4 linked regions of the Alligator mississippiensis genome follow. The protein of the gene in region 4 purifies or fractionates together with the protein of the main gene of each other region. This does not show direct contact. Links are inferred from orthologs where the notes say so. Each region holds a gene or a part of one and is shown on either strand. Other genes may lie near its edges.

Region 1 (7,457 bases), on a different chromosome or scaffold from region 4:
CCAAGGGCCGATTATTAGCCAGACATATTGGCCAATACCAATCTGATAGCTTATATGCAGCCCGGCAGCTTGGAAAGCAGCATCCAGCATACATGGGGGGGGGGGGGGGGGGGGGGGCGGCACCATGGCAGGGGCAGATGGAGGCCCACCCAGTGAAGGCAGGAAATGGGGCAGGGCACAGGACAGAGCTATGGGTGGCTTGTCAGAGGGGCACAGGAGTGGGTGTCTCCCCATTGCTGCGTGCATCCCTGGGGGGGCATGCCCCCCCCCCCCCAATTCGGGCACAGGGCAAAGGCAGGATGCCCACTGTGGGCTCAGGGCCAGGGGTTACATTGGCCTCTTCCCCAAGGGGGAGGGGGGCCAGGCAGTAGTGATTGGGAGGGGTGCGTTATGGTGAGTTTTGGGGTGGCTGTAGCCCACCCTGTAGCCCCCCCCTCCCAGCACCACCAATGCCTGCCCACCCCACCCTGAGCACAGCCCTGGCCCAGCCTCCTCACTGGGAAGAGGCCCTTGCTGTGGGTAGCCTGCCCTTGCTCTGTGCACATATTTTGGGGGGGAAGGGTACATGTTCCCCATGACTCTACCAGGGGTGCACACAGAAGCAGAGAGGTGCCCCACCGCCCCACCCCACAAACGAGCTGCCTGCAGCTCCTGCCCCACTCCCTCCCCTACCGTGGGGGCCTTGATCTGCACCCCCACCCATGCCCCTTCCCTCCTGCACAGACATATTGCCAGAAGCCTGCTCTCCAAGCTGCAAGGCTGTGTTCCTGGCCGCGTGCATGCTGCAACTGTGCATACATACAGGGCATTTAATCGGTGACATTATCAGCTATACCGGCCAAAAAAAGCCGATTGCCAATAACATCGATTTTCTTTTTAATCAATCCCAATCCGATATGCCACCAATATACCAGTGCACCTTTATTACAGGGTATGAGCCTTGTGTCCCCAGCTGATAGAGCTCTGTGTAAACCTCTCCAATGCAAACAGTTCCAAGCCCGTCTCTGATGGTTTAAAACCTTCTGCTTAGTTAGACTTCTACATTCTTGCAAGCAAACCATGCCACTAAACCCTGGACTCCAGAAGAGCCTACAAGACTGCAAGCTTTGGCCAGCTGCTGGTGTTGAAAGGGATTGTATTACATATGTGCACAGACTGCCGTTTTAAAACTGTCCGAATAGCTTTGTGCCTAGTACTTGGATTTTAAAGCTACCTGGTCAGTCTATTCACTGCTACTCAGACTCCCAAAGAGAAACCCACACATGCCAAATCACAGCCCAGACAGTCATGGCCGATGCGCAGGGTGCAGTAACCTAGGGTCTGGTCAGAGAGGGAGAACGAGGATGTAGTACTGGACAGAGAAGCACTCAGAAACTAGGAAAAGAAAGAGGTGCCTCCATGCCAGACTGTTCCAGGGAGAAATACTGACTGTTTTACAACAGGCTCCACATCATAGCTATGAAGAGCTTTCCCTTCAGATTCCTCAAGCACCGCACGCAGCACAACCGCTGTGATGTATAGAAACCAAGCCTTGCATTTTATACCTGTGTAACAACAGTGAAGTGCCATGTTCAGGAAAGTAAGCAAAGAAGGAAGTACCAAATACACAAGAGACCGTATCTTATTTCCTTTACATGATTAACAGTTTGAATTAACAAACTATGCTTTGCCATAGATTAATTTGGATCAAACAATTCAGACTGAGAAATCCTTGGGGAACACAGCCTCATCTTTGTATACCGACTGTTTCCAATAGAAAGTTTCATCAAGTTAGATCAGTCCAGCACAACATCTCCAAGTAGCACAGAAGACCACTTTCCCCATGTATAAGCCAAGGATGAGCCACAGCCAGACAGCGGCTCACTAAGCGCACTCTCCCCTAACACCCCCTACACCACCCATCCACATCGCCCCCCAGCTTATCAGGTGCTCACCCTGCTGACGAAGCTGTTCCAAGTACAGTTTGGCTAATCTCAGCTTCTTTTCCTGAGCTGTCTCCTCGATCTCCTCTTCCGCCTCATTGTCCCTCTTCCGCTTCCCAGATAACGCAGGGCTAGAAACAGCAGACAAGGAAAGGGGACAATTACACACAGGAATAATTTTCCCCTCTCTACTCATACTGACTGTACTCCAGACATGCTTTGCTACCTGATGCCCAGCCAAGAGGGACCTTCGAGCACAGAGCAGCTGTGTGAAGTATATAAATATCCCCATTGGCCTTTTTTAAAATGCAGGAAGAGGACATTTCTACCCAAGGTGTCATGTCAGCAGTTACAAACTGATGGGGGAAGCATTTCCACAGCACCCTGTGCTCAGGCCCAACATTGAAAGTCTCCTCCACCCCCTTCCACCCAGCAGGGCCCGCGAGAGCCCGGCCTGGAATCAAGCCCCGGCTGCAACCTCGACAGGGGAGGTAGCTGCTTCTCCAGGCTTCGCTAGCAGCCAGGACCGGGCTCGGGGCAGAGCCGCCCGCCCCTGCGCCTGGGGGCTTCTCACATCACGCTCCCGCCGGGGCGCAGAGAAGCCGGGCTGGAAGGGACCTGCGGAGCCCCTGCCCAAGGATGCAGCGTGTACCCTGGGCGGGGGAGAGGGACAAGAGCGCGGGCACGGCCCGGCCTGGGCCCCCTCTCTGGCGGCACCACCCGGGGGCCGCAGCGCTGCCCTGCCCTGCCCGCGGCAGCACGGGGACGCGCGGCGCTACCTCTCGACGTCCGAGTCGCTGGAGATCTCCTCGTTGAGCTTGGCAGCGGCGACCTTCTGCCGGGGCTTCTCCTCCGCGCCGGGGAGCTGCGGACCGAGCGCGGGGTCAGCGCGGTGCCGGGCAGGGCAGCCGCCCCCCGGGCCCCAGCCCCAGCCCGCCCAAGCCGGTCCTACCTTGCGCCGCTTGCGCCCGGCCCCGCCCGCGGCCGCGGCCACCGCCGCCGCCTCCTGCTGCTGCTGCTTCTTCCTGCCGGACGCCGCCATGCCGACCCCGGCCCCGCTCCAGCCCCGCTCACCCGCACGTGGCGCCCCGAGCCGCGGCCCCGCGCCCTCCCATTGGGCACAGCCCTCTCCGGCCCCGCCCCTCACCCCCTCGCCATTGGTTGGGACAGCTGCCGGGGGCGGGCGGTCTAGCCTCGTTCTCTGAGTTTCCTTTCCGGCCTCTCCTCCCTCCCCCATAGGATAGCGCTTCCTTTGGGCCACGCCTCCTCATATCCTATTGGCGGCCTGCGCTGTCCGTCCAAACCGTCTTTGCCATCAGAGAGACTCCCTCGAGGGGGGCGGGTTTTTTTCCGGCGCAGGTGCGCTGCGCTCTGTCGGGCTGCTGGTAAGTGCGTGCCGCGAGGGTGCAGGAGCCTGCGGCGGCCTGCAGGGGGCGGCGCGGCCTTGCTGTGGCAGCGGGGAGCAGTAGGGCCTGGGCCCAGGCAGGGGCAGCGAGACCTGGGCCTGGGGTGCGTAGTCCTGGCTGGAGGCGCAGGCCCGGCTCTGAGCAGTGGCTGGTGCCCAGTTTGGGAGTGATGCCCCTAGTCCCAGTTTGGTCGAGAAGCACCTGCTGCCCTGAGGGGCATCGTCTCACCTGGCACCTCAGCCAGCGATGCCGGGGAGGCGGGAGCACGGTGGGCGGCGCTGGCTGCTGGAGATAGCTGGAGCTGACCTGGGGCCGGGGGGGTTGATGTGAGCCATGCGTCCTGGCCCCATCAGAGTGCGAGTCCTGGCTGTTATCTTGGGCAGTGTGGTCGCGCTGGCTGGTGGAGGCTGCCTTGCCCGCGGCAGGGCCACAGATTAGCTCTGCACCCTCCTGTCCCCAGGTTGCTGCTCTGCTCCCTGCCCTCTCCAGAGGCAGTGCAGTAGTGCACTTGCACCCTTCCTTGATTCCTGCTCCAGCCAAATTGCAAACCAGCCGCCTCCATTTGAGCTGCCGTGAGAGCATCAGCTGAATTCATGGCTCATTAAAATCTACCTGCTTCCTTCTAAACTCTTCCTTGGGCATTGGGAACAAAGCCCTCTCCTTTTTGAGGGTCTTTCCTGTTCCACCAATCCAGCTAGCTCCTCTTCTGCGGTGCTGCTTCCTGTCAGCTGCTCCTGACAATGGAGATCTGCAGACAATGTGTAACCCATTCCAGTGAAGTTATATTTGTTTTTTTCTTTAATGTTAAACTGAATAATATATCCCTACGTCTCTAGTACATTAGTAAAGCGTCTTGTTTCTCTTTACCTGGAGAAAACTTAAGTACTGCTTTATATGGAAGAACTCCCCACACTGTCTGCACCCCTGTTTTTAAAATCCTAGCTCCACTCATGTCTGTCCCCTCCCTGATCTCCCTTTTACCGCACAGAAGGGCTGTCTGTGCTATTAATGACTCGTATGTTGCAGGTTGGCCACCCCTGCCATAAATGATTGTCCACTTTGGTGGACAAGACCTCCACCATATCCCTCACAGACTAAGGACAGTCATTAAATGTTAGTGGGCAGCCTGGTTTTGAGGCAAGCGATCATCAGCCTGTTAACCAGTTGAACTCTGCTAAATGGAGCCATTTGCCTGTCGGCTTTTAACTAACTAGAAGACTGTTCAGGCAAATGAAAATAGACTTTAGTGCAGGCCCAATAAGTCTTTTTAACAGAAAGATGTATAGGAAGGTATACTGCATATGCTTCTTTACCCAGCTTTTTTCAGTTCTCCGTTTTGTCCGAGGTCAGAATAGAGGGCTAACGGCTACATTTATTTCAAAAGACAGTCTCCAACTGGAGTGTTTGAAGGTCTAATTTTTATATTCTCAGCTAAAGGACTATACATTTTAAAAAACTTACTTTGTTCCCAATGCCCCTGAGAGCAATTTCAAACCAGTTCCTCAGCAGTCATTGCAAGGTGTAAATTAGCCAAGATTTAGCACTGAGAAATGTAACAGAGGAGCCTCCTTATATTTGGTCTTGCCATTAATTGGATCTTCCTAGACTAGGTGGTGCTCAGTAGTCCATAAATTAACTTCTTCCCTTGCCAATGCACTTTAAACAGTTCATACGAACAAGGTTAAAAAAAAGCTGATGAGCACTCTGGTTCTTTTGGCCTGCCTTGGAGGTTTTTTGGGAACTTCTGTTAAGTTTTATCATACACATATGGTTAAAATATGGCACCACATAGATTTGCATAATTCGCTAAATGTTATTAGCATGCTTACAACTGAAATGGAACATATCTGCTTTATGTACTACTTTGTAGCAGTTATAGAGATGGAAAAAACTGGGGCCTGGGGGGGAACTGAGGCCTAGGCAAACTGTTTTGCCCAGGTCTGTATAAAGGGGCTGGGATGTGGAGCAGTGGAAAATAAAAGCTGAACAAAAGAGCCAGGGGTTAGAGGGGAGGCATGTAAATGGAGGGGAGCTTCCCACAGGAAGCAATATGCAAGAGAGGGGCAGAAGTGAGTGTATTTTATAGCAGGGTCCTGGTTTGGTAGGAATCAAGGTCAGAGTTGGCAAGTTGAGTGAGAAAGACTCCATGGTCCAGACTTACCTCAAAGTCTTTCTAATATTCAGGCCTTTTACTCTGTTCAGTTAAATGTCATTACTGGCTTAACTGGACATGCTGATTGCTTCCTTTGCTGACCAAGTTAGTTGTTATGTTTGCATAGGTTTGTTCTATGGTCATGCAGAAATAGGCCTCAGGGCCTTCTGCTTCAGCCACACTTCTCCAGCTTGGCCTTGGAGTCAAGGCTGGAAACAGGTTATGCATGTTCTTCCCATTAAAAGGTAAAGCCCCTCTCTCAGAAGAGGAACTGGATGCCATCTTGTTAAGCTAGGGCCACAGAGAACCAGAGAGTGAGAGGCTGAAAGGCGGGGGTCTTGGAGTGGGAAGTTGACTCCTCCTCAGTTGTTCTCAAAGCCACACCTGGTCTGGCTTCAGGGGTTGTTCTCAGAGACTAGGCAAGGCTGCACTGGTCCTGAGCAAGCATCCCCCTGCATAGGGTCTCTGTGACACTGCACCACAAGTTGGCCTACAGCAGTGCCAGGGCTCTGTTTGGATTGGAAGCTTAGAGCACGCAGGAAATTCAGCAGTGGCAATGGCATGCCCCGCCTACAAGAGGGGATGAGTGAGATTTTGCCACAGAGCTGCCTGCAGATGTCTGGTTCCTTGTGCTGTAGGCACTAGAGGGCATTGTTCTCCCTTTGTTGAGCACGTGGACCTCAGCCCCGGCAGCTGCACCTGTTAAGTTATGAAATGGGATTCAGGACTATTCAGAATGCAACTGTTCACGGTTAAATGAACCTTAAAAAAAAGCAAAGTCCAGTATATTTAGCTGTAAAAGTGTTAGTATCTCACCAGTACAGCCAAAGAGGCGGTCTCAGTCTTGTCAGCTTCTCAAGGCATTGATCTGTTCACCAGATCAGCTGGGCATGGTAGCAGTTCTTGTCAGAATGATTTCTCATTCTTGAAGTGTGGCCTGTTAGCTGTTTTGTTCCTCTTTTATACCCTTTAGCTCAGCATCTTCAAAGCATTCTTGTAGTTGTGTCAATCAAGGGAGACAGATTTTTGGAGCCAATACCAATAGCTGATTTTTAAGGAGACCTGCTGGTCCATACTGATCTGATTTCCGAAATGCAGCCTGGCAGCTTGAAGAACAGTGTCCTGCTGGTAAGTCTGTTGTGGTGGAAGGGGAGGGGGAAGGGAAGGCGTATGGAGGGGCAGATCAAGGCCCCCGCAGTGAGGGCGGGTTTGGGGCTGGGGCAAGTGCTGCCCAACTGGGGCAGAGTGGGGCTCAGGACTAAGCTGCGGCTCATCCAGGAGGTGCGGGGGGGTGGGCAGCTCCCACCACTGTGCACATCCCAAGAGGGCATGGGGGGTGTACCTCCTGGATCTATGTGGGGCAAGGGCAAGGGCTGCTGCGGGCTGGGGCTGGGGCTGGCTGTGCTTGGGGCGGGTGGCAGCAGTGCTGGGAAGGGTCTACGGGGGTGGGGGAGGTGCTGCAGCCATGCCAAAATTCGCCATACCCTCCCCCCCAACCTCCTTCCCTGTACCACTGCTGCCTGCCCCAGTACAGCTCAGCCCAGTCCCCTCCAGGAAGAGCCTGGCATAGCCCCTGGCCCCAGCCTGCAGGAGCAGCCTGGCCTGGCCTTCCCCATGTGCAGATCCGTGGGGCACCCCCCCCCCCCCCCCATGCCCTCCTGGGGTGCTTGCAGTGGCAGGAGCCACCCCCCTGGCACCCCCTGTACAAGCCACAGCTTCATCCCATGCCCTGCCCTGCCCTGCCACAGCCCCTGCGTCACTCCCTCCCTCACCACAGGAGTCTCAATCTGCTGCCCCCCCCCCCAACCCTTCCCTTCCCCGTCCTCTTGCACTACAACAGACTTACCGGCTGGACACTGCTCTTCAAGCTGCTGGGTTGCATATCGGAAATCAGATTGGTATCAGCCGATATGCCTCCTTAAAAATCAGCTATTGGTATCTGCCCAAAAAAATCTCTATTGGTGTACCCCTAATATT
Region 2 (6,943 bases), on a different chromosome or scaffold from region 4:
TTTGCTGTTGCTGCTTACCCAGAGCTCACGCATGCCCTATACCACTCCATTCTGCCACCCAGCTTCATATTGGCGCTGCGTGGTTCTGGCACTGCGACCACTAGCAGCCAGACCCACACAGAATGAGGAGTGATGCAGCACACCAAGTAGCCATCCCACCTGCCCGCCACAATAAGCTGCTGCCACTACAGTGCCACTAGGAGGTGAGGCCGTGCTGGCCATAGACGAAGGGCTGGGGGGACTCAGTCTGGCGCAGCTGCCCCTGACTTTCCTAGTTTGAGGTAGCAGCAGCAGCAGCTCATCACAGTGAACAGGGAGGCGGGTAGGACAGCCACTCAGCGCACTGTGTTGCACCCTGTCCTGTGCTGGTGGCCACTGTGCCAGGACTACACAGCACCAACAGGTAGGTGGGCAGGAGGGGAAGGGGAGGGGAAATGGATGCAGGAAGACAAAGGAGTTGGCATGCTGCATGGTCCAGTCCAGCCCAGCCCACCCTTCCCATGCTCCTGGTGGCAGCCAATGGGCTGGAAAGGATCATTTGGCATCTTCCCACCCCTCCCCCCAGCCCTCAAGAGCTCATCAAAACTTATGTGGCCCTCCAACCCAAATAATTGTCCACCCCTGTGTCAGGACAATCTGGTGTGCAGTGGCACATCATCTAGCTCTTGGGGCTGCCCATGAGTCAGGACATCTGGTAGCAGGGGAGTGGTAATGAACACTGCCACCACTCGCCCTCCACCAAAGTTCTGGACCCTCGGGGATCCCTGCCCGCCAAATGATACAGCTATGTGGGCTGCTGGTTAAGCCCCCTGATGACAACTACCAGGGAACTGAAAATTAAAAGGATCCTTCCTTCATCAAACAGCAAGCTCACAAGACCCAAAACAAAACCAATATTAAAAGGTTTTCCAATACTGATAGTTTGTTATAATTATTTCTGCTTTCTGTGTTCTGTGCTGGATATAAAGACAAAAATCACATGAGTAAAGAATTCACTTCAGTGCTATCTACAGCACCTAAATGAAGAAACACAAAGATGACAAATGAGTACAGGAAGAAGCAAAAAATGTCTTTAAAAACCGTAAAATCCCTACCATTTAGCTTATTTGTCAGGGTTCAATATACAGATGAGGTTACTGACTTCCTACAATGCAAGGCATAACAAAGTCACTTAAACAGTTTGTGAAGACAGAGTTGAGACTGGTGCTACACAACAGGGTATGTCTTCTAAAACCCACGCATATGCATCAGAAAACTAACGTGCTCAGCCAGGATCTCCCCAGAGAATGAGAAGCAAGCAAATATTAAGAAAAAGCACATATCTTAAGCATACAAAAACTAAGTAGTATACTTTATGGTGCTACTTTACATACAACTGCATAATTTTAACTTAGCCCTTGCAATGAGTAGATGCAGTCTGAAATTCTTATGAGACATTCCTTAAAATTAGGTCAAAGGTATTTTGATTTATCAGAACCAAGAAGCCAGGAGGTCTATTCCCATCTGTTTCAACAAGAGACAATAATTTTCTCCATTACCTTGAAATTTAAGTGATTCATTATTCCCTCATGTGACACACAGGACAACCAAGAAATAGAAAGCATGAGATCATTTCTGGAAGAGCTGGGAAAATTTACATACCAGAACTCATCCACTATATGGCAATCACAACGCTTCTAAAAAACAGGACAGAACTGTGAGACCATTCCTTTGTGTCAGGAAAGGAATTTGGCTTGACCTGAACTCTTACACTTTTCTTTCCCTCCTTCCTCCCTTCCTTTTCTGCCCTGTCTTCCTGATTTCCAGCTATTTACTTTTTTCACAGACAGCCTCTCTTCTTCCTTGAAAATTTACTACTGTACAGTCTCCATTACTCAAGTACCCCCCTTTCCCTGCTCTACCTTTTTGTCTTCCTAATTTCCAGCTATTTACAGTCTCACTGACATCCTGTCACACTCTTAGCTTCTCTTAGCACACTTAGCAGCAGAGACTCCCTATGCCTGAAGAAGGGTGATTGTGCCCAAAAGCTTGCAAATAACTTTTTTCCATCTACTCAGTTGGTTTAATAAAAGATATCACATCTACGCAAAGAACCTATCTTAATTTGACATATGGCACTTCATAATGACAGACGAGATCCACAGAAGAACAAGCTCTATGCAAGTGCAAAGCAACATGGGAAAACAGAACGCAGTTACTCAAAACTGTACACCGTGGCAGCCAAAATAGTATACAGAATATTAAGCGTAGATACTCAAAACCATGGTTAGCAAGGGAAACCTGTACACATCCACACATACGTTATATGTATATGTATGTACCTAGCAGGAGTTTCAGGACACAAGTCTCTTTATATACAGCCACGCCTTGACGTCATAGTTAAAATGCAACTAAGTGAAAGGATGTTAAGCAAATCCAATTACATCACAATAGTTACCTACTAGCAGGTGGCGGCCAAACAACGCTATAACTGAATGATGCACGAGTTTAAATGAGTGCGCTCTCCAGCAGATCAGCGATGTAATAATGAAACAATGTAACTGGGATGACGTTAAGGGAGAAGTACTATAATACACACACACATATATATATATATATATATATATATACATATACATATACACACACACACACAAATATACATGTGTGTGTAGGTATAGATGTGTGGGTGTCTATGTGTACATCACACACACGTGTACGCACACACAACCCGAAGCAGAGGCAGGTGAGGTGCGAGTCTCTCCCGCTTCTGCTCTGCTCTGCTCCAGCCTCACTCCCGGCCGCGGCCCCGGCCCCGGCAGTCCGCGCGCGGTCGCGGCCAGGCCGTGGCGGGGCGGGGCGGGGCAGGCAGGGGGCGACCCCGCCGGGCGCTCACCGCGCTGCAGGTCGAGCTTGGTCTCGCGCACGTAGTCGTCCGGGTTCCGGCTCAGCACCTTCACCCGCATCCTCGCCCGAGAGCACGCAGCCCCGGCCCGCCACTCTTCCGGAGCGCAGGACCCACGTGACCGGAAGCCGGCGCAGACCCGCGGCGGGCGGAAGAAGCCGCTTGGGACGTTCCTCTTCCGCTTCCGGGGCGCGGGCTGCGGGCAGCGGCGCTATGAGCGCGGTGGCAGAGGCGGAGGGGCCGCGGGGCTCTACGTGCGCGGTGTCCGCCCCGCCCGCGCAGTCCCCGCTGCGGCACGTGCGCTACGAGAGCCTGGTGGCGGGGCTCAGCGGCGGCGTCGTCTCCACGCTCGTGCTGCACCCGCTTGACCTGGTCAAGATCCGCTTCGCCGGTGAGCCCCGGCCGCGCCTCCTAACCCACCCTCTTCTCTCTGCGGGGCCGGGGCCGGGCCGTGTCGTGTCCCCTTCCCCTGCAAAGCCACTCGGGGCTGGCCCGTCCCCCCACCACGCCAGCTGGCCCGGCCCACGGGCAGCCCGGGCACGGCCCGCCACGCACACGGGTGCAGCGTCACGGCCGTCGGTCGGTAGCTCGGGGGCTGCGCTGTGGTCCAGTCGCTCGTGTGCACGTGTTGTAGTCCTGCCCCGTCGCCGTGGGTAGAGACAGCATCCTCACGGTTCAGGCCCTGCTGAACCTCCTCTTCCTTTTCCCTCTCGAGTCAGACCCGAGAAACTCCTGGTGTGGGATCACAAATGCTGTAGGCAGCAGTGTTAGCTCTTGTATCGTAGCAGCGAAAGCGAGTGCCACAGCTCAGGGTGCACCAGGATTTCTGTTCTCACTGAACCTTATTGGGCTGAAACTTTAAGGCTGCTTATACACATGTTGGGGGGGACACTTCAATTTGAGCAGCTCCAAGAACTGCTCTAATTAAAGCGCCCGGAGCATCTTGTGTATCAGCGTCCTCATGCTCCAAAACGGCGGCGGGGTGCTTTATGTAAAGCTCGTTCCACGCTATTTGGAGCATGGGGACGCTAATATATGAGACTGCTGGAGTGTGGTAATTGCCACTTTCCGGCAGACTTAATTAATCAAGCCAGCTCTGATGTGCTGGAATTGCAGCGTGGTGGCACAGCCTCCCTGCTCTGTAGGCGCCCTACGTGCCTGCCTCAGAAAACTTGGGTAAAGTAGTTCACATGAGCAATTGGTGCCTCCTGAGTCTGGGAGGGGGCACAATTTGTGGGCAGACCCATGGGCAGGCCCAGGGGGCGGGCCAAAAGTCCCTCGGGGGCCCCCCATTCGTCGTTGGTCCAGATTGGGCGGGGGGGGGGGGGCAGCACTCTGGTTGGCCGAGCAAGCGCTCTCTGACACTCCGGGCTCCTGGGCACTGTCGGGGGGGGGGGGGGACCCCCCCCCACACCAGTTACCTGTGGTAGTTCTCAAATAGGAGAAAAGTAGATGCATCTGTGGGGTGGGAAGGGGGCAGGATTTACTTTTTCCTGTTGAAGTAATTTGATGCATCTCTTTTCTTAAATCACGTGACCCAGTCAGTGGCAGTGGGAGGGGGGAAGACCACCTGAATGCACTTACAAACACTGACTTTGAACGTACTGGGTCATGATACTTTGAGAATTATACCTCCGACACATGGTGCATATAACTGGGGGTTTCCTGCAAAGAACAAAAAAAAAACGTTCTTTTGAAATAACATTTTTGTGGTCCCCCTGCAAAAAGATTAAAGGTTATAGGCTAGAGATTGCACAGAGCTGTGGGGCACTAAGAAAAGGAGGCAGTTTTAAGCCAATGCTGCTACTTGCCTGCAGTACACAGCAGTAGAGTTCATCTTGGATTGGTAGGAAAGGACTGCTTACCTGGAACAGGTCAGCCAGACTTCTCCTTCAACCCAGGGTAAGGCACTCTCCTAATGAGCTCTTAGACCATAACTCTCGTGTGCCTTCAGAATACAGCTAGTCAGGCTTGCTTATTCTCTGCGACTTTCCTCAACTCTGCATGTTATCTTCAAGATAAACAGGGAGGTGTATTTGCATCATAGTTTTATGCCACTTGGCTTCACTCTTTCTAGAACATTGTTTTTCCAGTGTAATCTCTCTTTTATTCAGTGAGTGACGGATTGGAATTTAGACCAAAGTACAATGGGATTCTGCACTGTTTGACCACGGTCTGGAAGCATGAAGGACTACGTGGCCTGTACCAGGGGGTTACTCCAAACATGTGGGGGGCAGGTGCTTCCTGGGGCCTGTACTTTTTCTTGTAAGTAGAACCATAAAACCTTTGATGTTTTATGCAAAGTGATTGTGGACTGTAGGTCGCACTTTCATTTTGAGGGAGGTAAAAAGATAAAAAATACATTTTATGAAAGATTCATGCAGCTTTACAAACTATATAATCTATAGGCAGAACTTTCAGAGGCACCTAAATCACTTCTGAACATTTTACCCTCAGTCATCACTTGCTGTTTCATATCTTATATGTAATATAAATTGCTGGGTAGAGCAGCGTGACACACTTGTAAAGCAAATGCCTGCACAAGTTGCTGCAGAAATGTTAACTAGCTGCACTGGTAGTTTGTATGGTTTCATCCACTAAGAATCTTGCCAGAAGCTGCGCTATATAAATAAACCTTGTGGGGGAAAAGAACTTAGCCTTAGCCTGATTTGGGGGAATTAATTTGGCTCCTGAAATGATTTAGTCTGCTAAAGTTGGAAGCATTTAGTACTTGGACAAATCTGTTTTTGCAAGTTAGCTTACTTTTTTGAGGTAATTGTTGTTTTTTCTTTTGGTCCTCAGGGTCTTTTCAATGTCATATCACTTGCATTTTATATTTACTAATATGTAAATTACTTAACTCAAGGGCAGCAGGAAATCAAAGAAACCAGTTACTTGTTTATATGAAGTTGTCCTACTGGTTTTCTAGTCCTCATTCTTTTCTGACTTTCACTTCTCATCTTACTGCATATTGCTCACCTCTCAATGGCTTACTTAACCCAGAGGACCAGTTCAGCAGATAAAGCTGATGACAGTATAGACTGCCTTTTCATAAAACCTTGCTGGGAGACATCTGTCTTGTTAGCATTTCATCCAAACTAATTCTTCAATTTTAAATGTGATGAGGCAGTCCTATTTTTTATCAACAGTAATATTTTATTACCCAGCTGTCTACCACAACTCTGTGCTTTAAGTAGCCTGAAACTAATTCAGTAATTTGTATTGCATCTGAGATTGTTCACCTCTGCCTCTGCTCTGTAAGGGCATTGCTTAATGTTGAATCTAAGTGATCTGGATTTTTCTCATCTCTACTTAAATTTGTTTCATTTCTTCCAGCTATAATGCCATCAAAGCCTACAAGAAGGAGGAGAAGCTAGAAAGTCTTAGTGCAACCGAACACCTAGTGTCAGCTGCAGAGGCTGGTGAGGAAAATGCAGATAAGATTGACATTTACCTCTAGCCTGTCCATACGCTGTTTTTTGTCTTTGTCTGTCAGTGCTGTTTTTTGTCCAGGTGGCAAGTATAAGCGTTTCGGTCCAGCTGCACTGGGTTAATGCATGTAAATAAATTAATGATGTTGGGTTGGCTGGCCGAACTCCTTGTGTGTGTTCACCAGTAGCAACAGTTAAAACTTTTTACAGCCCCATGCAAGAATGAGCTAATTTATATACATTAAAATTGCAGATTCCAGACCAAGCAGCTGTGCATAAAAAGCAGAACTGTTGTCAGTTTTTGCTATAATGTTAAAGTTTACCTTGAACACTTTCCCCTTAAAAAAGACAACCCAAGGCCTAATTCAGCACGCACTGAAATCCAGCATTGGAATGGAATGTCTTCAATAGGCACTGGACTAGACATGTAGCCTATCTAATATTGAAGAGGAATGTATGGTGCAGCACTACTTGGAGTGGTCTTCCAAAGCTCCTTAGACTGACCTCTCAAGTAGAGAAACTTGTACCATGCGTTAGGAATGAAAAATTGATAACCACAGACAAGAAATCAGATTTCTGTATTTTGTTGATAGCCATGTATTAAACTAGGATGTAAACCTCAAATTAC
Region 3 (7,835 bases), on a different chromosome or scaffold from region 4:
TGGGGACAGACTAAGGAACACAGGGGCAGATAGGACAAGGAGCAGAAAATAGGGCAAAAAATTGGGCAGGGGGAGGCAACTAGAGTGGTACCTCAGGGAGGGTGTAGGGCTTAACTTGTGGCATACCAGTGAAAGAGATTGGCCCTCACTTCCTTAAGTGGATCTGCAAAGCCAGCAAAGGAGCCTCAGGCTCTGACAGATCTCTGATTTTGAGGTAATGGGAGCTCTGACCTAGTTTTAAAAAAGTGCATCAAATATAATTTGATTCCCCAGACAAAATTATGTGGAGGATTTAAAGCTTTGTACATGTGAATGTCCTAGTATGCAAAACAAATGCAGTATATTTCATCTGTAAAGTAAAATCTTCTGTATTGCAGCCATTCCCTTCCTAGTTCACTGGATGGACTGTAACTTACAGGTTCTTATCCTGTGATTACAATTATGACAATACACTGCATTTTTGAGAGAGAGAGAAAGGTGACAGTGAATGTACTTAATGTTCTAGCTGTGTGCATTTGTACCTGTTTCTGCAGCGCCCAGAATATCCATATGATCTCGAATTGCAGAAGGCAGAGCTAATGCCTGAATAGGAGTTGGAGCACTAAATCCGAGAGAACTCAAGGCCTGAAGAACTGGTTTTGGAACAAAGAGGTCTTTCCATGCAGACACATCAGCTGTTTGATCAGATGATGCAGATAAAACCTGAGTTGTCCAATTTGTAAGCTTCTTAGAAGATTTTGCTGGGGGAGGATCTTGCTGGGGTAGAGATGCTTTCTTTTTTTTCTTCTTCAAAGTTTTTTCTGTGCTTAAAGCAGCTTCAGCTTTGTTTTCATTTTCCTCAGAATCAGTCAATGTGACGGTATCTTTAGGTTCATCTTCTTGATCAGTGAGTACGTCATTTCTCTCCTCAGAATGATCATTTTTATTTGTTCTAGTTCCCAAACCTTTGCCTTTCTTTCTCTTTTTTTTTTGGATGGTAGAATCCTCTTCTTCGGAGACACTATCAGATTTTCTCTTCTTGCCTTTTTCTTTTCCAGATTTAGAGGAATTCATTAACTTATAATCTGTAAGCTCCTCAAAGCACACCAGATCTCCAAGCTGCTCATCAGCAAATAGATTTGGGTCGATTTCGACAGGTTTCCATTTTCCTACTACTTTGATACCCCTTTGTTTTGATTTAAAGGAAGCTCTAAACTTATTTCCCTTTTTTGTCTTCATCATGATCTAAAACAATTGAAAAAGAAATCATTGTAAAAATCAGCAGAACAAGGTATCTAGATTCATATAACATATAGCATAAACACTGCACTGCAGATGGTGCATAATGCCATCTATGTGTAAAGCTAATGGGACACAAGTCTTAACTAGAGTTTTCTCTGAAGTTTAGTCTATGGGCTTGGTCCTGCTCCCACTGACTAGGCCCTCTTTGTTTTGAATCTGCACATTTAAGAACAACTGCGACTCCAAACGCACGCATGCAATTTGACAAACAATCTTTAATTACTCATTTATCAGCCTCTTGCTGAAAATGACACTGGAAACCTCTGCAGTAAAGAAACCCTGATGACAAACCATCGCATAGCTCTGTTGTGCGTTTTGTTAACCATGACCCTTTAGCACTTTGTGCTGAAAGGTCTTTTGGCGGGAGCATGGGAAGGAAACCTTGGATTTACAGCTTTATACTGGGCTCTTATGTGGGCTCTGTACACTCTCCAATGGCCAGTCCAATCCCCTTACTCTGCTTCATCTCCTGCTCTGCTGTCTTCTTCCTGCCCTATCTGCCGTGGTGTTATCTGTCCCCTCTCTGATCTGTCATGGCCCACACAGAGGCTGCCTATGCCAACTGTAGCACTGGAGCTCCAGGCTGGCTAATGCTAAACACACTGGCCAGCTCAACTCCCAAAATGACATATGTAACATGGTGAAAGAATAGCCAGGAGACATGCACAAATAAAAACAGGGCAGTACACATGCCCATGAAAAGCAGTGATTTGCTGCATCAATCTGCAGCAATTAAGCATTAAACATGGAGGAAGGGACCAAGAAAGAAATTACTACTCAAAATGGTAACTGGGTACATGCTCTTTACAACTCATCTCCCACTGACTGCAATGAGATGGACGAGTCTTCAGCCAGGTTGAAAGTTACTGTTAGCACTGGTATCCAAGTTGTAGGTGCATTGGTCTAAAGGAAAAAGCAATTAGGACTTGTAATAGAGATGATATCTTTTAGGAGACCAACAAAAAAATCTGAGCTTCCACAGAAGAGACCTAAGTAACCAGGCAAGGCCGACTCTAAACCAGCAGCTTTTTAAGCTCCAGTTTCCCCTCCTTACACTCATCCCCTTGGTAACCGCCAGCTCTCAGTTTTGCAGTGTTGCCAACTCTCATGATTGTTGTTGTTCTTAAAGTCTACGCTTTGGGAATGTGAAAAACTCATCTCTTTCACACACACTATACAAATCATACACAAATATAGATAAAAGAAAGAGCTAAATTTTTCACATTCCCAAAGCGTAAACTCATAAGAGTTGACAACAGTGGTTTCGACTTGGTTTTTTCTAGTATGCAAAGCTAACAGACCCAATCTTCTGCCACAAAAAACACAAACTAACAACGTAGTGAACACTCCGCTTCCTGCGGCAGTCTCTGCGCTTGTTCTGCGAACCACGTTTGCAAACCTTAGAGCTGCTCTCAGGGGCACCTCGAGAGGCCGCCGCGGGCCAGGCTGCTCGGGGCCGCTGGTGCCAAGCGGCTGCGGCCGGGCCCTGCGCCCCCCGCCTGGCCCAGGCTCCGGTACCTCCGCCTGCGCTCGCAGCCGCCCGCCCGCCCCGCTGTCCTGCCCTCGGAGCGGGACCCCGCGCCTTCCCTGGCCCAGCCGCCGGGCCGGGCCTCCCCTCTTCCCGCGCCCTGCGCTCACCGCTGCCTCCGCCGGCGCCTACCACGTGGCCGCAGGGCTGGAGGCTGCCATCACTGTCGTGACATCACATCCGGCCTCGGGGTGAGAGGGACCGGAAGCTTGACGGGGGGGCGGTGGGGGGTTCGGGCCGTGCTCGTGCGGTCGGCGTTGTCCCTCGCGCGGTAATGACTGTCTTTGTATCATCTTTTCAACCCGTGCACGATAGTTAATATTAAAAGGTGTCGAAACTCATGGAAGAGGTGATATCGTTTATTAGATCAACTAGCTCTTTGCAAACAAACGACTGCATTTATCTGCAAGCTTTCGGGCACGCTCACCCGTTCCCATGCACAGGGCAGGAGAGAGCAGAGAGTGGCGAAGTTCTAGGTAGAAATGGAAATTCATATTTCTCAGGAGAGCTGAAGGTGTGGTGGAGTCTCCTGCTTGGAAAAGTTCACCTTGTACAGGCGATGCACAGGGAAAAGTTGAAACAGTCTTTTCACCTCAAAGCTGCCTGGTGCAAGCTGGATGTAGAGGCATGTTTGCTTCAGGTTATGTGTTTGATAGTTCACAGGAGAATGGAAAGCTCTTCTAGGCAGGAGTTTAAGTGGCGAGGTATTAGTGTTCCTGTGCTCTGGGAGACGCAAATTTGCTCGAACAATGGTAGGAGCCTCCTGTTAAAAATTCAGGTGATAAAATGCATCCTACTTGTAAAATTATGAACTTTTCATTAAAAAAAATAAATGATGAAGGGTGGGTGTGCCCAAAAGCTTTCAGATAAATACAATACTTTGTTTGCAAGTGTCTAGTTGGTCTGATAAAAATATAACTTCCCAAGCTTCAGTTCCTTTTGCCTCTAGACCAATATGACTACAACCTGCATGTCGGATAACTTTTGAGGCGATTAATTGATGCAGCATATGCAAAACCCAAGTCGCTCTCAGACTCTTAACCAACTTTCAGGTTTGGTTTTGTTTTTTGCAAAAATGCTGAGAGAGAGAGAGAGAAACAGTGCCTGTAGCAAACCAAAACACACTTTGAAAGTTGAACAGAGTTCACACCATGTACCCACACACCCATCACCATTCCAGTTTTTGGGACTTTTTTCACTGCTTGCCTTGAAATAAATACTTCTGCTTTGATGACCCAGTTCTCACCTCGCTGGCTAGTTACAGTGAGCAATATAAAGTAAATAAGACTTATTTACATACTTATCTACATTTTTTTCAGGGTATGATGGTTTTTCAGAAGATACAATAGTTTTGAGCTTCCAATATGATAATTTCGTATTTAAGTCCTGGCAATGCTGTGTGGGATCAAGGCTTGGCAGGTTCTCTTCAGTCGCAAGGGCGGAGCATGGGAAGGAGCCGCTTAGTTACAGCAGGTGCCTGGGGCCTGGGTGCTGTGGGACTGGAGTAACAGCACCATGCAGAGGGGCCGGAAGGGCCCTGTGGAAGGTGTCTAGTGCAACCGGCTGTCTGAGGCAGGAGCTTAATCAAGTGCAAGGCAGAACCAGCCCTGGGGAAAGAGGTGGGGGCTTGCTCTCACCAGCTCTAGATCTATAGCCTGACCCTAAGCTTATGCAACAATAATACAAACACAAATAGGAGGGATAATGATATATATTATTAACAACCATCAACAATCAGCACTATTGGGAACAGCATCCCAATCAGCACTGTGTCCCAACACTGTTCCCAATCAGCACTCAATACCACTATAACAACAAAGCAGAACAGCAACAATATCAACAAAGTCCAACAGTGAGGGCACTGGAGAGCAATCCTGCTCAATCTCTCTCTCAACAACATGAACAATCTTAATAACACCTATTCCGTAATGTAGTCCCTGACCTATGGCAAGAGATAGTCCTCCTTCCAATGGGGTCCCTTGGGGGGGGGGTGTCCAGGAAGCACCAGGGGCCCCTCCCCTTAGGGCCTTGACTAGCTGGGGGACTACTCACCCAGCCCCTTCTATGGGTTTGCCTGCCCCAAATGTCTTTCCCTTGTGGGACCCAAGGGCCCAATGACTCACGCTCCCTCAGGTGGTGGTGGTCGGCACAGGTTGATAGGGTCTCCTCTGCTGAAGCGCCTCTCCTGCACTGCTGGGCTCCTCCCTACCCTGTGCCCCGCTCTGGGCACCGAGGGCTCAGCTCCTCTCAGCTGCTGCACTACCACTGCTGGCTCCTGGGTGCTGGGTCTTACGCTACAGCACTACCATTTCCCCGTGCCCTGGCTCAGTACTGAGGGCTCTCTTAGCATAGGCCAGGCCCTTCAGGCTCCGTCCGTCCCTCCTCACATTAGGTGGCTAACCCAAGCAGCCTCTGCTTCTCCCAAGGCTCAGGCCCATGTGCTGCCCTGTGCACCATGGGACCTGGCTGCTTGTCAGGAGATGGGGCCTGAGCCACCTCACTGCAGCCCCAAGGCCTTTGCCCCGTGCACTGCCCTGTGCACTGCATAGCCCGCTGGCCCTGCCAGGGATGCAGGCTTGAGCTGCCACTTGAGGATCCCAAAGCCTGGGCTCCGTGCACCAAACCACACACCGTGATGGGCCCGAGCAGTCTCATACCGCTCCTGGGGCCAGGTCTTCCCACACTGTCCTCGCACACCATCAACAGCCTGAGCAGTCTCGCACTGCTCCCAAGGCTGCTTCTCCAGTGGCGGCTTCAGGAGCCTTGGGCCTATTGCCTGCTGGGGGAGAGCTCCCCCAGCTTTCCTTGGCTCTACTCTTCTTGAGTCCCTCACTACATCTGCCAGTCGTGGTGGGCATGCAGCTCCTTTTATACACTCCAGAGCTCCACCCCAAAGTCTTCCAGACCTGGCAGTTTACAGTCTTTTATCAAGTCTGGGAGAGCTCCTCTCCCCCTCCCCTCAGGAAAGGGGCATGACTTTATTTATCCTGATGCCTCCTGATCGGTGGATGGGCTCTACCAATCAAAACAGGATCTTAAGCCTGGGACTAAACCCAAGCTCTGAAAGGTGAGCCTGCTACAAAAGCTAAATAAGAAGCCTGAAAAAGACACATTTTTCCAACCTAGTGCAGTCTGTATCTTTTGTGCATTCATATGCACCTAAACAATAACTTAGGGTTGGGGTGCTGAACCCCTGGTCAGCAGGCCAAATCTGCCCACAAAACTGAGTCATCCGACTTGCAGCTGTCTACATGGGTCCTAAAATTTTGTGGTGGGGGAGTAGTGGCAGCATTAATTGCCCCTTCCCTGCTGCCACTTTTCTAGACCCACAGGCTAGACAGTGTGATCCTGTAGGCTAGATCAGGTGCGTGGGGCCAGTCCAGGTATGCAGGGCTGGGGCTATGCAGGGCCCAATCCTGGGGCCCAGGGGCTGGCCAGAGGCAGCATGGGGGTCAAGTGGAGGTGGTGTCAGGCCCGGTCTTGGCTCATGGGTTGGCAAGGCGGTGCAGGGCTCATCCATGTGCACAGGGACTGGCCAAAGGCAGTGTGGGGCCTGATCCAGCAGCATAAGGCAAAAGAGAGACCTGCAGGCCTGGAGCAGTGCAGAGCCTCATCTGGCAGCATGGGACAAAAGCAGAGGCACACTGGGCCTGATCTTCCAGCACAGGGCCAGAGTGGTGTAGGACCAAATCCTGGTGTCCAGGACCTGATTGGGCTCATGGAGCGACCCTGCACCACTCATCCCTCCCAGAGAATCAAAAGGTTGAGAACACCACTGACTCAGGGGATATGATGCAAAACTTGTGTAACGCAGGCAGTACTTCAAGACATACCCCCTTTCCAATTGAAGGGATCACAGCTGGTGCATGAGAGCTGTGTGAGGTATAGGGACCCTCCTTCCCCTATACAGCAGAGCCAGATCACCAGTGGGGACGTTACCATATACCTTTTAATGAGAAAAACAGTAGTGGGAACATAATATATATATAAACCAGGGGGTATAGGGAACAGTACAATGTCCCGAGGGGGCAGGTTCAATAAAGGTTAGGCATTTACATTCATAGACATATTCATCCAGTTGGCAAAAGACAGGTTTAACAAAGTATAAAACACAAACAGCACAACAAACAATACTGGTTGGCAAAATATAAAATGCACAAAATACAAAACACCAAATAACAAGAGATATAGGGCATAGGTAGCTGGAGGGGTGAAAAGAGGGATAAATACAATGACCCCCTTCCACTGTGACAAGAATTTCTCCCCTGTCACTTCACTCATCCCTACTTGACCCAGCTAGGACATGAACTTAGACATCCTACATGGTAGGTAGAAACGCTACCACACAGCCACCAGTGCTAAGACAGCTTCAAGCTGCTAGGGGTTTTGACCTTCCAGGAGCCCCTACCTCATGTCAAGCTGCCCTGCCTCTCGCTGGAGGATCTGGAAGCAGAGCTATGAACCTCTCGGGTCACTGCTCAGCTTCTTGCTGGAGCTGGGGAACCTCTCCTGCTGGCTGCAGCCTCTCATAGGGGGATCCTGGAGCCCAGCAGGGAGCCTCTCCTGCTGGCTGCACGTCACACTGCCTAGGGTCCAACTGCTGCCTGCAGGTCCCACTCCTTCAGGTTTTTCTGGGGCAACTGCTCCTGCTCCCCTGGGCCAGCTCTTTGAAACTCCCTCCTTGTGGTCCCTCACTGGTCTCCCTGAGTCAGCTGCGCTGCCCCTTTTATCCCCCTCCAGGTGACCCGAGGTGCCAGTCAGGGGACATGGAGGAGGAGTCTTGAGCTTGATTGGTGAGGAAAGGGAATCCCAAGCCCTCCAATCATCCCTTTCAAAACCCCTGGGCCAAATAACTACCAGCTAGCCCATCACACTTGCCACACAGAGAAGAGAACAATACATTTTTATTTATATCTGTTTATCTACAGCAAAGATTTTGTTTTGTAAAAAAATGTTCAAAGTCCACCTAGTAGATGTATAAAAAAATCTTCCATGCAATATGAATAAGACATTCATAAAGGCTCTT
Region 4 (7,199 bases):
GGCATGCTCATTACCTTGATGGAGATAACAAAGTGGCCGCCGTTCTTCAGGAAGTTGTGCGCGTTGAGGGCGACAATACGGGACTGGTCAGGCTGCGCCACATCGGCAAAGATCACATCCACCATGCCTGGAGGGGGGGCATGGTTGTGAGTCATGACCCAGAGATCAGGGGACGCTGTGATCCCCCAGCAAATCAACTACACCCCCCCCCAACTCCACCTGTCTTGTGATATCAGCACTGGGAAAGGAAACCCAGTTGTCAGGGGAGAGGCAGGTCCCTGAACAGCACGGGTAGGAAGACCCTGTGCACAGACGAGCCTCAGTAACAGCAGGAAAAACCCAGGAATTTGGAGCCCCCAGAGGAGCCCTGACAGGCCGACCCCAAGCCTGGCCAGGCCTCAACAGCGACTGCAGAGAATCCAGGCATCCAGGGGGGTCTTAGGAGCCCCGACTGGCAGATGCCATGCCCGACTGAACTTTAGCAGCAGGAGAGAATCCAGGAGTCTGGGGGCTCCCAGGGAGCCCCAATACAAAGACCCCGTGCCTGGTCAGGCTTCAGCAGTGGCTGCAGAGAACGCAAGTGTCCAGGGGGAGGTGGGGGAAGGGGGTCTCAAGGATCCCCAGTACAAAGACCCGAAGACCAGCTAGACTTTCACTACAGCAACAGAGGACTCTGGAGTCTGGGGGCTCCCAGGACACCCCTCTGCCCCGGGGAAAGCCAATGGCAGGGCCCCCCTGAGTGCAGCCGGACCCCAGGGGAGAACGACTGGCAGGGGGAGGTAGGAGGAGTCAAGGGGGGGAGGGGACCTAGGGGGGACTCACCAATCAGCATGCGGTATTTGTGGGGGTGCCGGGCATCCTCTATGACGGGGATGATGTTGGTGCGTTTCTTGGCCACGTTGATGAGGTCACGGCCGGAGCGGTGGGAGAACTCCACAGCGTAGACCAGGCCTTCCTGGGGGGGCGCATGGGGTTAAGCTGGAGGGGGGGGTAATCCCTTTTGCCCCCTCGCCTCCCCCCCCCCCCCCATCCAGGGTAGGGGGTCCCAGTACTTACGGGGCCCACAATGTCCGAGACATGGGAGACGGTGGTGCCTGAGGCAGCGCCCAGGTACAGCACACGGACGCCCGGCTTGATGTGGATCTGGTCGATGCCCCCCAGGATGGCGGCTGCCAGCTTGGAGCGGAAGGGGTTCCAGGCCCGGTACTCCACCTTGGCCTCGCCATCCTGCCCAGCGGTGGGAGAGGGAACAAATCAGGGCTGGGGGGGAGGGAGTCTGCTCAAACCTTTCCCCAACCCCTGGGGCCTTCTGAGGGCCCTTTCACCCCAGCTTGGACTCCTGGGTACCAAGATGCCTCCTGGATCGGCCCCTGGAAGTGGTGTGCCCAGTGCCCTCTGGGACCCAGTAGCCTAGCCTTTCTGCCCCCCACATAACCACTGGGGGCCCCCCTCCCAGAACCAGCCCCCTCGACACCACCATTCAAACCTCCCCCTACCCCAATGCCCCCATCCTGATCCCCATCCCCACCACATCCCTCTTGACACTCCCATCCAGACACCTCCACCCGCCTTTGATCCCCTTCCCCCCCAGGCTCTGCGTACCTCCACCGCAATCCTCTTCTCCCCATACACTGACTCGCCCGGCACCAGGTTCTTGGTCACGAGTGCATCTTCCTTGCCCCGGCAAATGAAGACCCCTAGAAGGGATTACGAATGGGGAGGGGGTCAGAGCCAGAATAGCACCCCCCCATGGTCCCACCCACCCCAGGCTCCAACCCAAGCCCCGCCAAGGTGTCCCTACCCCCCAGCGCCAGCCCCTGCCCCAGACTCCAGTACCTTCGTGCCTGTGGGGCTCCACTGTCACCTTCTTGCCCCCTCTGAAGCCCCCCCGGCCCCCACCCCGCCCCCCACCACGGCCGCCCCGGCCAGGCCCTCCTCTTCCTCGGCCGCCAACACCTCCTCGGCCAAAACTGCCACCTGGGAAAGAAAAGGGGGAGAAGGATGTGGTCCAGTGTGGGCAGGACCCTGCAGCAAGTAGGGGAGTGTGGACGGGGGAGTCTTTTGCGATAGTAAGGATAGTAAATGGGGTCCCAGCCTTTTGGGACAGGAAGTGGAGGGGCAGGGGGAGCCGTTTGGGACAGGAAGTGTGGGGTGGGGCCTGGCTAAGATGAAAACGAGAGGGGGCAGCAGAGTCCCACAGCAGGGCAACCCCTGAGCCTGGCCCTCTGCCCCAAAGCTTGATGGGACAGCTGACCAGATTCTCCCAGCACGAACCAGGAGTGGATGGGGGAGAATGTAACTCACCTCTGCCTCCCCGGAAGCCACCGCGTCCCCCTCCACGGTCCCCGAACCCGCCGCGTCCCCCTCCACGGTCCCCGAACCCGCCGCGTCCCCCTCCACGGTCCCCGAACCCGCCGCGTCCCCCACGGGGGCTGAAACCTGTGGGTGGAAAGGAGGGGGGGAGGTCAGACATGCCCCCCTCCCCCCCACCAAGTCCATCCCTCACGCAAGCCCCCCTCCCCAATGCTCCCCCCTCAACTCCTAGGTCCCCCCAATGTCACCTGCCCCACATGCCCCCAGCCCCTTTGACTTCCCAGACATATAAGGACCCCCCCAGTACCCCACCACCTCCAAGCCCCATCAACTATCCTTACTGGGGGGGAGGGGCTCAGCTGGGGGGTGTTATCCCCCCACACACCCTCAGTCTGCTGCCCACCCCAACCTGATCCAAGCCCCCCCCCCGGAACCCCGGAGTCCTGCCCCCAGTGAATAGGGGGCTCCGAGCTTGGGGGGGCTGCCCAGCTACAGTCCCCCCCCGCAAGGCTGAGAAGGCAGGCGTCCCGGGATCGCGTGGGGGGGCTCCCCCCCCGGCAGCAGCTGCAAGGACCCGCCCCCCCCGCCCCGCGCTCACCGGGCCTCATGCTCCCACGTGCGCTCCCCGGGGCCGGACCACGCTGGATTCGGTGCTGGCTGGCGCGGGGCGCGATGCGCATGCGCGGGCGCCCGGAGCGCCCACACCGGAAGTTGGCTTCGCGGCCCGCGGTGACGTCAGCGGAAAGACCAGAGGACGTGCTTGCGGGGCGGGGGAGGGGGGGCGATTTTTGTGGCGTCACATTTGTCTCTCTCTCTCCCTGTGACGTCAAGTAATTTGTCTTTGGACCGCTCTGGGGTGTGACGTGGTGCTAGACTGTGAGGTTAGCCTTCCCCGTGACGTCACAGGATGAAAGTTTTTCTCAACTTTAGATCTGTGCTGTCTGATGTCAGCTCTCTGGGGGAGGTCAGGTGTCTCCTGTGATGTCACAGGGTGAAAGGTGGCTGAGGGAAGGCAGTGTCATGCAAGGACGTCAGATCCGTGAGGTCAGCTCTCTGGGATGTCACATGATAGCTGATGTTTCTTGTGATGTCAGCTCTCTCTGTGATGTCATAGGACAAAAGTTCTGTCAGAAGAGGCAGCTTTCTCTGCAGTGTCCTGTGACATCACTTCTCTGGTGTCAGCTCTCTGGGATGTCCCACGATGTCAGGTGTCTCTTGTGATGTCACCTCTCCTTGTGATGTCATAGGATGAAAGAAAGGTCTCTTGGGGAAGGCCATTTTCTCCGCGGTGTCAGGTGGCGTCAGATCTGTTATGTCCTATGCCATCAGCTGTTGGGTATCACGTGACATCAAATATTTCTTGGGATATCAGCTCTCTCTGCGTTGCCATATGACATCAGTTCTGGGATGTCACACGGCATCGGGTCTCTGCTATGTCCCATGTACTCAGCTCTCAGCCCAATGTCAGATTCCCATATCAGCTGTGACATTGTGCCGTTCGCATGTGATGTCAGCCCTCTCTGTGACATCACATGGTGTCGGGTCTGTCCACTCTGCTTTCTGCTCCCCACCCTGTGCTCCCTACCCCTTCCACTGCTCCGTTTTCCGCTCCATGCCCTGTTCTCCCTTCCCCATCAGCTGCTCTGCTGTGTGCTTCCTGCCCTGTGCTCCCTGCCCCATCCACTGCTCTGCTTTCCACTCCCTGCCCTGCGCTCCCTGCTCCACGCGCTGCTCTACTTTCTGTTCCCTGCCCTACGCCCCCTGCCCCTTCCACTGCTCTGCTTTCTGCTCCCTGCCCTGTGCTCCCTACCCCATCGGCTGCTCTGCTTTCTGGTTGGATTCAAGGCAGTTACCACAACGTAGGAGTTGATGGCATTTGTCTACCGTGTAGTGAGCATGTTTGTTACTCCCCTGAAAGAGAATAGTTTTCTGATAGCATACTGTTAGGTTAGCAATAATTTAGATTATTAAGAAGTATTAGCTTTGCAGCTGAATATAAGGCATGACCTGTGGCCTAGCAATGCCGCTAACCACAAGGCAGAATGATAGCTAAGCCTTTACTTGTGTCAAGTAATCATTTTAACTGTGTTAAGCATTTTCTGAGTAAAATGCAGCAAGTGAATCTGTGTCTGTGCTGTAAAATCAGCTACAGCAAGGAACAAGATAAGACAAAAAAGTCATTGTTCTAAATACAGTGATCGTGTCCTTAAAAAGCATCTACCACTGCAAATTCTTGCTAACGTATCATAATGTTACTGTTACTTAACTTTTAGCTTTTAAAAAATGCTAGTTCAGCTTAATAAAAATATGCTGTTATAAAGATTTGTGAAGCACCACCCAAGTAAGTATTGCTTTTATTAACCCTGTAGTCTTGCCTTGTTATAAAAAGTATAAAAAATTGCCCCACCCTTTAGGGGGGGCCATTTTGCCTTTTGCTGGCTTTATGATCTTTGCTCGAACAAATAAATAGCTGTCAATTCTTTACCCGCGTTGTCTGATACCTATTACAGCTAAATAACAAACTTTAGGGAGTTTCCTCCCACCACATAAGCAAGGCAGGGTAGGGTTAAGGGATGAGATGTCATGTGTCCATACTTCTACACCACTACCGAGTCTGGGCAGCTCTTTGAATAGCTCCTGCTAAAGTGGAGCCCAGCCAAAGACTTGCAATGATTGGTCCAATATGCAGCAGAGCGCCAGGCCAAGAGTTGCATAATATAGCCAGGGAGAAAGTCCAGCTGTTGGCTTCTGTGATCCAAACATCATTGCTACATTCCCCAAAGGACCTTCCAGATCATCCGTTGAGACCCCCCCCCAGGCTTGAGCATACAAAATAATAACCTAAGCCTGATTCCCCTTTAATTAATTATCCAACAGCATGAGATCACTATTCCAGGGAAGAGTTCGGGATCCTCAAAGAGCAGTGCCCTCCGACTGACTGAAGAGAGTTCAGTTGAAATCTGAGAGCAGATTTAGGCTGGACATTAGAAAGAACTTCTTCACAGTTAGGGTTGCCAGAATCTGGAATGGGCTTCCAAGGGAGGTGGTGCTCTCCCCTATCTTCAAGAGGAGACTGGACATGCACCTAGTTGGGGTCGTCTGACCCCAGCGCTCTTTCCTGCCCAGGGCAGGGGGCTGGACTTGATGACCTACTGAGGTCCCTTCCAACCCTAACATCTATGAATCTATGAAACACTGACCCGGTCGATGCACTCGTTCAATGGTTCCCAACTTTCTTTAGACTCTAGGCCCTTCTCTGTTACCTCCAGGCTTCCTCGTTTGAAAGGTACCTCTCGTTAGACTCCAGGGCCCCCTTGGAAAAAGAAAGCTCTTCACTTTCACTCATTTCTAGACTATGAAGAAAATCCTAAAATGATTCTTCTGTTGCAGAATACTCAATGAACTCCCAGTTTCGCAACCAGGATAACTCTCGGGGCTTTGAGTGTATCCGGAGAAGTACAAGAAAATCCAAAGCAAGTTCCTCTGAACCGTGCACCGCTTTATTGGGATATTATCAATCTGGCAATGTGAGCAAGAGCAGCTCCATAAAGCAGAGAATACATGGACACACTTGCTGCCAGGTGGTGAGGCCTCAGGCCCTTCAGAATCCGTCCTTAGGGCACGTTCCAGACTCCCACCCCATCCACTCCACTTTGGTGTGGAGGAGTTTGATACAGTTCAGATTCAAATTTCTGTATTCACATGCTTTTCTGTGAGAGAACAATCTCCTGGGCAGTGGAGTAGAGACCTGGGAAACTGAGTCATGGCTCGGTTGTTCTTTCCTTCATAGCATTGGGTGTGATTGTTGGCTGGCATGTCTCAACTCCCTTGGTCACCAGCTGTCTTCTCTCACTTGCTGGTGGCTGGCATTCAGACTGAACTGCTCCTGGGATCAGGCTATCTGCAAGCAGGAATGTAGTGAGCCACTGACCACAGCAGAAAGGAGTGAGGGGTGGTTCAGGACCCCACAACGCTGGCAGAGGAGGGAGGGAAAAGAAACCTTCTGAGACAAAAGGACTGGATGGTGCTACTGTCTCACACCACAGAGAAGGGACAGAAAATAGAGAGAGAGGCAAAGAGTTAGGACAGAAAGCTAATGGCCTCCCGGGCTGCATTAGTAGGAGTGTGGCCAGTAGATTGATGGAAATGATTCTCCCCTTAATATATTCAGCACTGGTGAGGCCACATCTGCAGTCCCGTGTCTAATTTTGGGTCCCCCACTACAGAAAGGATGTGGACACATTGGAGAGAGTCCAGTGGAGAGCAACAAGAACGGTGAGGGGGCTGGGAGACATGATTTATGAGGAGAGGCTGAGGGAACTGAGCTTATTTAGTCTAGAGAAGAGAAGACTGAGTGGGGATTTGACAGCAGCCTTCAACTCCCTGAAGGGGGTTGTAAAGAGGATGGAGTTGGACTGTTCTCAGTGGGGGCAGACGACAGAATGAGGATCAATGGGCTCCAGTTGCAGAGAGGGAAGTTGAGGTTAGATATTAGGAAGAATGTTCTCACTAGGAGGGTGGTGAAGCACTGGAACAGGTTACCCAGAGAGGTGGTGGAGTTTCTATCCTTGGAGGTTTTGAAGACCCAGCTAGACAAGCCTTGGCTGGGATGATCTAGTTGGGGCTGGTCCTGCTTAAAGCAGGGGGTTGGACTCGATGTGACCTCCTGAGGTCCCTTCCAACCCTCATGTTCTATGATGCTATGACAGCTAACCCTGGACAAAGAGCCAGGACCCCTAGTTCTAGTGGGATCCTCCAGGATCTTCCCTCACTACACATTTGTTCAGAGTCCAGCATGGTGGGCTCTGATCCCAGCTGCACATGGGGCTGGTTCTGGCCCAGGGATCTGTACAGGGCCTGGTCAGGCCCCAATCCCAGCTAGGCCA

What was found.
Region 1: the proteins of FBL (region 4) and RRP9 purify together in Homo sapiens (affinity purification with mass spectrometry; 3 studies listed by BioGRID and IntAct, counting the BioPlex papers as one, with this or other methods). This does not show direct contact. The link is inferred for Alligator mississippiensis from reciprocal best matches to the Homo sapiens genes FBL and RRP9.
Region 2: the proteins of FBL (region 4) and DCAF13 purify together in Homo sapiens (affinity purification with western blotting; 3 studies listed by BioGRID, with this or other methods). This does not show direct contact. The link is inferred for Alligator mississippiensis from reciprocal best matches to the Homo sapiens genes FBL and DCAF13.
Region 3: the proteins of FBL (region 4) and DDX24 purify together in Homo sapiens (affinity purification with mass spectrometry; 3 studies listed by BioGRID and IntAct, with this or other methods). This does not show direct contact. The link is inferred for Alligator mississippiensis from reciprocal best matches to the Homo sapiens genes FBL and DDX24.

The regions. Positions count from the first base shown.
Region 1 is NC_081835.1:46,777,675-46,785,131, forward strand, and holds the start of RRP9 (U3 small nucleolar RNA-interacting protein 2), read right to left. Parts: upstream 3,003-7,457; 5' UTR 2,965-3,002; coding exon 2,875-2,964; intron 2,788-2,874; coding exon 2,702-2,787; intron 2,054-2,701; coding exon 1,935-2,053; intron 1-1,934. Other genes in the region: protein mono-ADP-ribosyltransferase PARP3, read left to right, coding at 6,573-6,608. UniProt on the Homo sapiens protein: Component of a nucleolar small nuclear ribonucleoprotein particle (snoRNP) thought to participate in the processing and modification of pre-ribosomal RNA (pre-rRNA).
Region 2 is NC_081826.1:36,562,359-36,569,301, forward strand, and holds the start of DCAF13 (DDB1- and CUL4-associated factor 13), read right to left. Parts: upstream 3,006-6,943; 5' UTR 2,946-3,005; coding exon 2,876-2,945; intron 1-2,875. Other genes in the region: SLC25A32 (mitochondrial folate transporter/carrier), read left to right, coding at 3,098-3,275, 4,999-5,149, 6,221-6,306. UniProt on the Homo sapiens protein: Part of the small subunit (SSU) processome, first precursor of the small eukaryotic ribosomal subunit.
Region 3 is NC_081825.1:277,182,196-277,190,030, forward strand, and holds the start of DDX24 (ATP-dependent RNA helicase DDX24), read right to left. Parts: upstream 3,007-7,835; 5' UTR 2,920-3,006; intron 2,775-2,919; exon of another isoform or gene 2,681-2,774; intron 2,185-2,680; 5' UTR 2,097-2,184; coding exon 2,079-2,096; intron 1,225-2,078; coding exon 522-1,224; intron 1-521. UniProt on the Homo sapiens protein: ATP-dependent RNA helicase that plays a role in various aspects of RNA metabolism including pre-mRNA splicing and is thereby involved in different biological processes such as cell cycle regulation or innate immunity.
Region 4 is NC_081838.1:29,164,497-29,171,695, forward strand, and holds the start of FBL (rRNA 2'-O-methyltransferase fibrillarin), read right to left. Parts: upstream 3,010-7,199; 5' UTR 2,994-3,009; coding exon 2,912-2,993; intron 2,440-2,911; coding exon 2,305-2,439; intron 1,978-2,304; coding exon 1,837-1,977; intron 1,698-1,836; coding exon 1,603-1,697; intron 1,228-1,602; coding exon 1,057-1,227; intron 956-1,056; coding exon 823-955; intron 128-822; coding exon 15-127; intron 1-14.